2 linked regions of the Saccharomyces cerevisiae S288C genome follow. Each later gene encodes a partner of the first gene's protein in a complex. Each region holds a gene or a part of one and is shown on either strand. Other genes may lie near its edges. A codon is read from its position in the direction of its gene.

Evidence for each region. Proteins that work in one complex are often made in the same cells at the same time.
Region 2: the proteins of TIM18 (region 1) and SDH3 are in contact, whole or in part, in a cryo-EM structure (PDB 6LO8), measured with the Saccharomyces cerevisiae proteins. Residues at the interface, in NP_014940.4 of Saccharomyces cerevisiae: Gln63 (codon at 5,605), Met64 (codon at 5,602), Pro67 (codon at 5,593), Pro68 (codon at 5,590), Glu69 (codon at 5,587), Phe70 (codon at 5,584), Arg83 (codon at 5,545), Lys86 (codon at 5,536), Tyr87 (codon at 5,533), Ile90 (codon at 5,524), Thr93 (codon at 5,515), Met94 (codon at 5,512), Phe97 (codon at 5,503), Phe101 (codon at 5,491), Ser115 (codon at 5,449), Phe118 (codon at 5,440), Leu119 (codon at 5,437), Tyr121 (codon at 5,431), Leu122 (codon at 5,428), Gln123 (codon at 5,425), Gly125 (codon at 5,419), Phe126 (codon at 5,416), Tyr133 (codon at 5,395), Gly153 (codon at 5,335), Ser154 (codon at 5,332), Leu156 (codon at 5,326), Ser157 (codon at 5,323), Tyr159 (codon at 5,317), Gly160 (codon at 5,314), Ile161 (codon at 5,311); in NP_012781.1 of Saccharomyces cerevisiae: Leu92 (codon at 824), Ser93 (codon at 821), His96 (codon at 812), Arg97 (codon at 809), Leu100 (codon at 800), Val101 (codon at 797), Met103 (codon at 791), Gly104 (codon at 788), Leu105 (codon at 785), Phe107 (codon at 779), Tyr108 (codon at 776), Phe110 (codon at 770), Thr111 (codon at 767), Ile112 (codon at 764), Phe114 (codon at 758), Gly115 (codon at 755), Ser117 (codon at 749), Gly118 (codon at 746), Leu119 (codon at 743), Gly123 (codon at 731), Leu124 (codon at 728), Thr125 (codon at 725), Thr126 (codon at 722), Ser130 (codon at 710), Tyr133 (codon at 701), His134 (codon at 698), Lys146 (codon at 662), Phe153 (codon at 641), His156 (codon at 632), Tyr157 (codon at 629).

Annotation. Positions count from the first base shown.
Region 1 is NC_001147.6:869,531-877,069, forward strand, and holds TIM18 (Tim18p), read right to left. Parts: upstream 5,792-7,539; coding exon 5,213-5,791; downstream 1-5,212. Other genes in the region: UAF30 (Uaf30p), read left to right, coding at 1-364; YOR296W (uncharacterized protein), read left to right, coding at 672-4,541; MUM3 (Mum3p), read left to right, coding at 6,069-7,508. UniProt on the Saccharomyces cerevisiae protein: Component of the TIM22 complex, a complex that mediates the import and insertion of multi-pass transmembrane proteins into the mitochondrial inner membrane.
Region 2 is NC_001143.9:177,947-180,763, reverse strand, and holds SDH3 (succinate dehydrogenase cytochrome b subunit SDH3), read right to left. Parts: upstream 1,098-2,817; coding exon 501-1,097; downstream 1-500. Other genes in the region: MRP8 (Mrp8p), read right to left, coding at 1,590-2,249; ribosome biogenesis protein LTV1, read right to left, coding at 2,592-2,817. UniProt on the Saccharomyces cerevisiae protein: Membrane-anchoring mono-heme cytochrome b subunit of succinate dehydrogenase (SDH) that is involved in system II of the mitochondrial electron transport chain and is responsible for transferring electrons from succinate to ubiquinone (coenzyme Q).

The DNA of each region.
Region 1 (7,539 bases):
GAAGAAAAAAGGGACTGTTAGTAAGTCACCTATTTCAACACGAAAAGTTACACTATCTAAATCATTAGCGAGTTTGCTAGGAGAGCATGAATTGACGAGGACCGAAGTAGTACGACGACTCTGGGCATATATTAAAGCGCATAATCTGCAGAATCCTAACAACAAGAAAGAAATACTGTGCGACGAAAAATTAGAATTAATACTTGGCAAGAGTACCAATATGTTTGAGATGCACAAAATTTTGGCAAGTCATATGACAGAGCCTAAAAAAATAAGCGACTGTCCTCCTCTTATCCAAGAAGTCCGTAGAAAGGAAAAGCCCATCGTTTCAGATTCCGAGCAATCAGATACAAAGGGCATTTGAATCAAGGATATCATGAAAATTTCAAGGCGTTGAAATTTGTGTTGTTAAGGCAACACTATAGGAATGAAAAATGGCCTCTCTATTATAAAGTCCTTTTGCCTTATTTTTTCGGTAGCTGCCTACAATTTGTAACGTTAACATTCCCGGGTGAAAAGATACATGAGTATGTAGAGATTTGTATATATATACCTACGTAGAAAATAGAAAGGCGAATAGCTCTGCTCCTAGTTGAATATTAGTAGCGTTCTCACATCATTAAGAGGATAAGCCGGCATTTTATAGGGCTTTTGCAGCTAGTGTGAAACTTATGAATCGAACAGTCTCCACATTATCATCTACTGTATCTGATGTATCCGTGGAAATACCGTCAATATGCAACGTCATTAATACCGAATTACCAACATCAGATGTCTATCTTTACACTTTAAAACTAATTTTGTTGGATTATATCAACGAACCGCGATTTAAAGAAGCAGCTTTGCTATCGAATAGGACAGGAACGTCAAGGGTTTTATCTGACAAAACGAATCATCAGCAAACGCAACATGGGAAGAAACTAGTGGTTGACAAACAAGACGATATGTCGGAACGCGATATAGTACAGGCAACTTTACGTATATTAAAAGGGAAGTTGGCACAAATTTCAGGAAATAAAAACTTGGCGCCGAATGAGATGCATTGGAAAAGTATTGTTAAGATGTATTATAGCATGCTCGATTCTTCTAGTGCAGATACATTTTCCAAGATGGGTCAAATGGAGGAGGTGGTCGGTTATTTCACAAATATTGCCAGTAATGAACTAAAGAAAATGACTATTAAAAATTCTCGTGACGAGCTGTTCAGTGAAGTTGCTTATTTTATAGACCTAGTAATTGATGTACTTCCAGATAGTTGTGCAAATATCATAAAGAGACTGCTTGATTATAAGATTAATCTTAAAAAAGGCGAGACAACAGTAAAGAAGAAAAGAGCCGCCTCACCTGCCACAGTCCCTCAATATAGAAGCATTTCCGGGAGCACGATTAGCAATAAGCAACCCTCTTTCAAAGTCCAAGATATTTCACATATGAAGTATTTTATGCAGTTATTCGAAACAGATGAAACAAAGCTTCACCAAGACGTAATGGCTGTTAAGGACGATTGTACAAATCCCATATTTTGCGGTGAACTAAGATATCTTAGGAAAAAAATCAAGAAAGACAACGGTACTTTGACGGCTTCTGATTTTTCAAGTGACAGAGAATACAATTTATGGAAGAATTATGAACTTCTTGAAATTGCAAATTTAATGGATCGATTTGAGATAGGCGAAAAGGTTACCTCTCACGGAAACCGTCTTATACCCAAGGATGCAAAAAGCGTATTTGTCCGTCTCATAGGCCTTGTTTTAAAAAAAGAGTGTTCTAATGCTGTAAATGCCATAAATCTTTCTCAAGAAGCTCTATTCTTCTTTCATAAATCAGCGAGGTATTGGAGAATAGAATATCCTTCCACCATCTCCTCGTTGGTTTATTCAGCAGCAAATTTAAGTGTTCTAGGAGATGAAGAGCTAAATATCCCAATAACTGAAAACTTGTTTTCTGTCATCCGCAATAAATATTTATGTTCAGAGGATAATCTGGATCCATCCGCTTGGAATGCTCAGGATCGCTATTTATGGGCTGCAAACCTTTTTCATACGACTGATCAGTCTATGAGGACAATAAATAACCTTTTAACTGCGATATTTTCAGGTACAAAGCCAAAATTTTCTCCAGTTTTGTCATTTTATTATTCAAACATTGTTGGGGATCCAGTAATGGAATTCTATGAAACGCAGTCCGTAGCTGTAAAGAAATACTGGATCAAATTATTTAAGAAGACTCTTTTTAAAGCATCAGAGGATTATTTTGTCTCCCTTCTGCAGGATATGCTAAAGGCTAACGCAATAGAAATTCAAAACGTTCAGAATCTCGTAGAAACAATTATAGAAGCCATAAAAGCGATTCAAAAACGTTACAATAAACCTTTATTGGACGAAATATCTCTGCCTAGACAATGCGCAGTATTTCTATGTGAAGTATACGGTTCGGATTCTTTAAATCTAATAAAAACCGCTGAAAAGAGTACCATGAAAATGACTGGACAAAAGTTGGGTCCAATAGATGCGCTAGATATGTATGATGTACTGAAAGAACTGAGACAGATTTACCTGCAGGTAAAGCCAAAAGGGAAATTTTTCTTTAACCTTGAAAATTATTTCATCAAATATTTGACTCGATTATGTGATGATGTGAGCCGTAATGTTCAAAAAGTTATTAAATCTTCACTAGAAAGCGAGAATTGGCAACCCGTAAATGACCAGGACCATTTCAGTAGATCAGTTTTGGACATATTCAAAATGATAAATGAATCAACTAGCATGTTGGAGAAATTTGGTTGGCAAAATGAATTTCAACTGGCACAAATGATCACGGTAATATTAAAGGCGTTTTCAGATGGTATGCTTTCATACTCAGCTCAACTAATGGAATTGATCCAGAGAGATTTACAGGAGGGTGATGAACCATCCTACTCTTTAGAAAGCTCAGACACTCGATCTTCACTTAGCCTGAATAACGCTAACGTAAATCATGAAAAATCAAGAAGTAGTAGGCTGTTTGAAGATTTGAAAAATGTAGTTAAATCAACTCCGAAGATGGTAGCTCCTGCTCCATATCAGTTCAAGAAGCGTACGTGCGTACTGCTAAATGATCTTGATAAAACACTTTTTCTGTTAGAGAGCTTCGAAGAAAAAGCAGATCCATCAAAAATATCCTCTGTTATTGCACAGTACCACTCCTCCCATAATTTAGAGGATAATGGGAAGTCATTCGATGACCAGAATATGAAGCAAGTTTATACCCTTCGAATTATCGGTGCTGAAAATATTAAAGGCTTCAGCAAAACGGGGCTTTCAAACACCTACGTTTCCATGAGAAACATCACTTTACAACGGGAAATAGGTACTACTAAGATTGTTGCAAGATCGATTACTCCCAAATGGGACGAAGAGTTTGTGTTTGAGTCTCCATTCGGAAAGTCGAACGATATTATGTTTACTATATGGCACCACCCACACAGCAGATTAAAGAATTTAGCGGAAGATGATCTATGTGGAAAAGCCAATATGAAATTCACTCCGAGAAAGCTCAAGGATGATGGGTTTCCTATCGATTTTTCGCTCACATTGAATCCGCAGGGAACTTTATATTGCCAAATATCCCTGGAAAGTGAGAAAATAGATGCCGTTTCTTCTATGGGAAGAATATATAGATCTTTTAGCAGGTCAAGAGATCGTGCAATAAACCTAATAGTCAACAAATTTTCTGATTTTATTGCATTTGCCTTCTCGAGAACCACATTAAAAACAGTGTGTGGTCACCATGGTTCTGCACTTGCGTCTGACGAAGCAGTATATGACGCAATTTTACCACTATTTGACTATTTAAACGCAAATTTGAACATTCTGGCATCAGAACTTTCACAGAGATTGTTGTTTATGGTAATGCTAAGAGCGTGGAACCTCGTTTTAGAGAACGCTGATTTACTTCTTCTACCTGCATTGAATAGCGCTAAAGTTAATATATTGCGTTCAGCAAAGAAATCTTTGTGGGAAAATACTCTTTCAACCACAAAAACGGTATCAGGATACGGTCGTCCTTTGACTCAAGCGGAAATCGAGGCTGTATTCAAATGGCTTGATGCGCTGTGTGTAGATTTTTTTCATAATAAAGGAGAAGGTCCCCCTCTTGCAGAATTGAAAAATGAGTATTACCAAAATATATTGCTGATCCCAGCTTTTTATGATAAAAGTGTCTCCGAATTGAAGGATGAAGTTCAGCGATTGATTCCCCTATATGAAGAGTATTTGAGATGGTTTTATCTGAAGAAAACTCCGATTACTTTTACGAATAAATCCGCTGGAACAATATCTCGAAAAAAGTCGCTAGTAGCTAACATTGTAAAAGAGCCTAAGGAACAACTGGAACGTGATGCAGAAGTAATGAATATTATATTGAGAATATTGATCGCGAAAGGCCAACATGATTACGTTCATCGAATTTTACATGACAGAAAAGAACTTGTTAATACTATGAAAAATAGAAGAGCGGTGAGTAGAGCGGTCACTCCTACAGGAAAAAAGGGCAGAAACTGAAGTCTCTTTTATATATATACATGGGGTGCTGACTAAACAGTTCCACCCTATATTTGAGCGTCGATAAAAAATGAATGAACGTGTATCATCGTTTATTATAAGAATCATAGTTTTATGGACAAGTTTTCCGTTTAGCATTTATACCCATATAGTAAAAAGTTTCGCAGATAGTGCGATAGTTGTATTCTGATTGCCTTATTATTATTTCACTAATTCTTTATTCACGTAGAGCATGACACTTTTTTTATGTGTTTCCTTTTGATTGTGAAATAAAGGCGAATCCTAACAAATATTAAAATGTTTCAATACATTGATAAAAATTGTAAACATTATTTTTTTGTAGTATAAAAATTCGTTCCTCATCATTAAAGAAACAAAAAGCATACAGATAATAATAAAAAAGGCACTTTAGACAGAATGAGAATACTAGCAATCACGAATTCCTACTTTTCCTTTCTGTATCCCTAGGCGTTTCACTCGACAAGAATTGATCGTCTTGTACCAATCCAAGCAGATCGATATATACATATATATCTGGATTTCGAGAAGAAGGATATATTTTATTGCTTATTTGTCTTTTTATAAAATCTCTCCTAAGTTAAGTTCATGGGGAATCTGACTCTAAAAATGAAATCTTAGAAATGCAAAAAAAAAGAAAAAGTATGGGTGAGTCAGTTTCTTCCAAATATATACAAATGGTCATCATTTTCATTCCAAAGTTTCTTTACCAGGTCAACAAAACCATTATTTTTCGTTTCCAATTCGTAGATACCGTACAGGGACAACATGGATCCTCCATAGAGGCAATAAAGGGCGAGCTTATGCCATCTTGGATACTTTTCCTTCGGTATATAGTCAATAATACAACTTGTGAAGCCATACTGTAAATATATCAAAAAAATGGACGATAAAGACGCATCGAGTAAAGGATTTATAACCCCGCCGGTAAAGGAGGCATAAAAAGGTACCATTGTTAATGGAATCAAAGTATATTTTGCTATTCTCTCATAGTCTTTTTGATAAGAGTCCTTAAATTGAGAGAACTCTGGGGGCTTAAACATCTGCACTGAAGAGGATGCCTCTTTTGACGTATTTGCAATATCGTTTATTTTATTTTCAGCATTTAAACGATTAATGCTATAAAAGGATCTTTTGGTTGAAAGTACTAATCCTGGAAAAACAGCTCGTACAGGATTTACAATGACAGTGGAAGCATTAAGAACAGGCTTCAAGCCAGGAAACAATAGCATTACCAAAGGTATTAAATTACTCAGTTGTTGCACCTCGCATCACCGTTAATTAATGTGTGCATTCCACTGTCTGGAAGTTTTCATTTTTATCCGATCTTTTGCGAGAATGGTTTGTTTTTCAAAAAAACCGAGTGTCAACAAGGCATGTAGCGACACAAAATGAAAAATTGAAAGTTAACAGGGCAAGATATGCACCATAATAGATTCATTGTTAATCTTAATCAAATAAAATTTCTCTTTTCCACACAGAAAACTAAACGAAAGGTATAACTTTAAGATGGGTTTTGTTGATTTCTTCGAAACATATATGGTCGGTTCTAGGGTCCAGTTCAAACAGTTAGATATTTCTGATTGGTTGAGTCTGACCCCAAGGTTGCTTATTCTTTTTGGCTATTTTTACCTTCATTCTTTTTTTACTGCAATCAATCAATTCCTACAGTTCATTAACACGAATTCCTTCTGTCTTAGACTGCATTTACTATATGACAGATTTTGGTCGCATGTGCCCATAATAGGTGAGTACAAAATTCGGCTGCTCTCGAGGGCACTGACATATAGTAAACTGAAAATAATACCAACTTTAGACAAGGTGCTGGAGGCGATTGAAATTTGGTTTCAGCTACATTTAGTTGAAATGACCTTCGAAAAAAAAAAAAACGTCCAAATTTTCATAACCGAGGGAAGTGATGACCTAAACTTTTTTAAAGATAGCAAATTCCAAACCACATTAATGATATGTAATCATCGATCAGTGAATGACTACACATTGATTAATTACCTTTTTCTCAAAAGTTGTCCCACCAAGTTTTATACTAAATGGGAATTTCTACAAAAGCTGAGGAAGGGGGAAGATCTAGCTGAATGGCCTCAGTTAAAATTTCTTGGTTGGGGAAAAATGTTTAACTTTCCTCGATTGGATCTACTAAAGAACATATTCTTCAAAGATGAAACACTCGCACTCTCATCGAATGAGTTAAGAGATATTTTAGAAAGACAAAACAATCAAGCTATTACTATTTTTCCCGAAGTCAATATCATGAGTTTGGAACTATCAATTATTCAAAGAAAATTACACCAAGATTTTCCCTTTGTTATAAACTTCTATAATTTATTATACCCAAGATTTAAAAACTTTACCACTTTGATGGCTGCTTTTTCATCAATTAAAAACATCAAAAGAAAGAAAAACCGTAACAATATAATCAAAGAGGCCCGATACCTGTTTCACAGAGAACTTGACAAATTAGTTCACAAGAGCATGAAAATGGAGTCTTCCAAGGTATCCGATAAGACGACGCCGCCCATGATCGTAGATAATTCATACTTACTTACAAAAAAGGAAGAAATCAGCAGCGGCAAGCCCAAGGTGGTACGAATCAATCCATACATATATGATGTCACCATAATTTATTACCGAGTCAAATATACTGATAGTGGGCATGATCATACCAACGGAGATTTGAGACTTCATAAAGGTTATCAATTAGAGCAAATATCTCCGACAATCTTTGAGATGATTCAACCAGAAATGGAGTCTGAAAACAACATAAAGGATAAGGACCCCATTGTTGTGATGGTAAATGTAAAAAAGCATCAAATTCAACCATTACTCGCATACAATGATGAGAGTTTAGAAAAGTGGCTTGAAAATAGGTGGATAGAAAAAGATAGATTAATCGAGTCCTTGCAAAAAAATATTAAAATTGAGACCAAATAAAGATCCTGAATCATAATATATACGTGTGTAC
Region 2 (2,817 bases), on another chromosome or scaffold:
TTTTTTAAAATAGTGCTAGAATAATAAAGTTTTGTTCGAATTGTTTTCTTTCTTCTTTCCTTGTTCCTTAATATCTCTGCACACCTAGTTATTCCTCGAAAATAATTCTTCTTGTATTTACTTTATACAAAAGAAAAATGACCGCCTATGTTTGCTTTTTCTTGCCAGTAACAAATAATAGCTTCAATAAGTATCCGGAAAGAAATTATCTTGATATCTGTAAAAAATCACTGATATTTTGTTGAATATGATTACTCTTGCGCTATCTTTTCCTGTTTTTCCTCTTGTTTGTTCCTTTATTTTCTCTATTGTATTTTACAGAAAGGCAAAAAAATAAAAAATGTGCCCCTAGTAAATATAGGTTTGTGTTAATCGGCATTTTGGGTTATAAAGATCTTAAAGAATAAATAAGTGCGGTATTGGGTCATATATAGGAACGTATATATAAAATTGGCTATATATATATTTGTGTGTAGAAACAGGTGCGTCGCCTTAAAGAATCATAAAGTTAATAAATAAGTACCGAGAACGGCGGTGAAACCAATGAGAGCGTAACCAGTTCTGTAAACGCCTTTCAATGTCAATTCCTTAGCGGTATCCCAGATCAAGTGTCTAATGGCGCCACCATAGTGAATTGCAAATAAGTAAGCAAAGGAACCCTTGATGGACCATTCGGTAATCTTGGAAAACTTCTGATGGTACCAATTAGAAACCTTTTCGGTAGTCAATCCAAGACCTAATAAACCAGAGACTCCGAAGAGTATAGTAAACAAGTAGAAACCTAGTCCCATAAGCACCAACGAAATACGGTGAAGAGAAGACAGGTACCAAGTTAATTGTGGCTGGTAAATGGTCAGATGTGGAGAAATAGGTCTCTTTGCTCTTTGCTTGTTTAATATTTGTTCTTCAGCAATTGCCGCTTTGGTGTTCATTTCACTGGCCACATTCTTCAATGGTGAGGTAGAAAGGAAGTTTGTTCTAGCTGTATTAAAAAGCAGCCTCCTCGAGGAGCTCAAGGCAGCTGCTCTTGAAAAGGCGGAGGGTTTCAGTAATAGAGCCGACTTATTCAGTCCTAACTTGACCATCATTGCAGACATCGTTTATTATTCTTAGAGCTTGTGATTGGCAATTTTTGGTTGGTCCTGAGATTTCTATGCGGGGATCTCGATATCATAATGCCAGTGCACATTTATACAAGTACCAAACGCTTAGAGCGGAAAACGGAGCGGGCTACCGCAGCCAATCAGAATGGACCTGGTCAAAAGTTAGATGATGCTTAAGACTACTGAATGGTATACAAGGTAATATATAGAAGGCTGTTGGTATACAGCTTTCAATCACAGATAAAAAGTATAGGTATACTTATGGGAGGAAAACTTTGAATTCTTTTCTTCTCTTTTTCACCACTAGAACATCCTTTAACTGCAATGCCGCGGAAAACATAGGTTTCATTGAAAGAGAATCCTGTTATGATATACTCAAAACTATATGTATATAGATATATATATATATATAAGTGAGGGAAATTTCTAGAACCTGGAACTCAAGCCCTCTTATTCATTGATTTTTCATTTTTTTTCATTTTCTGTTTACCATATTTCGGTTCCTCTTCTAAGGGAGAGACCTAGATAGCGGGCAACATCATTAAATGCATCATCTAGCTCATCTTTGGAGAACTTTTCCAACTCCTTAGAAATCTCTTCATCAGTGGTCTCATTAATGTGAAAGGCTTCCACCTTACCTTCCAGGAAGTTTTCAAAATCTTCTTGTTCCTTTAGAGTTGGTGGCAATCTTTCGTAGAATTTAGCAAGTCTTACCAGTTTTAAGTCTGGGATGTCTTTAAATTCTTTCAACGACTTAGGGAACACTCCGTCTGAAATAGCAGGAATATCACCATCTGCATTAGGCAGTGGCGCTATAACGTCATCATCATCTTTTTTCAAAGAGTTAACAAGTCTTCTGATAGACCTTTCCTCGATGAAATTTAGCTCACCCTGTAGTTCTTTGACTAATTCCACTAGATCTTCATTTGTGGCAAAATCAGTGGCATCGAATTGAGTAGCGGATCCTGATTTCTTCGAGATAGATTTAGAGAATTTCGAATCAAAATCAGTTACGTCGTGCTTTTGTTTATCTAACTGCAATTCCAGCACACGCTCTCCTGTCTTAGAGATAATCAGACTTTGCTTCTTCACTAAGTCTTGTAATTCAGAGACTTGCTTCTGCAGTAATTCAATTTCGTTAGACATTTTCTTCCTGCTATTTATTTATGTGTATTTACTTCCTTTCTTAAAATGTACTTTATCTGCGGAATACGAGTAGTAAGACAAGATATCTCAAACGGTTACTAATTTGAACGGCTCTTTGAAGCAATGCACGCCGGTTTTCTTTATACTAAAACAATATTTGAATAATGAAAATCGACCTCCTTCCTCCACCCCCTTTCTCCGAAATCCACAAAGAGCACCGCCGCGTTTCATAATTATTACCCGGTGGGCAGGATGTATTTTAGCATCAATGCATTCTAGGCTAAGTATACATGTCTACACAGTACTTGTAATGTAGGTGCTTTCTCATCTCATTCTACTCCTCTAAAATTTTAAGCTGCTTAGTGTATTGGTGACCTTCTCAAGTTTCTTTTTCTCTTGCCTTTCACGATTTCTTCTCTGAGACAGTTTACCTTTGCTTACTTCATCAGCAGCTTCCTTCAGCCTTTCAATTTCTTTATCTTTCTTAGCCAGTTTACGGCCACCACTCTCCAGTTCGTAATTGTCCAAAAAGTCATCAAGCATTGACTCAAAATCAGATCTTTCTGCT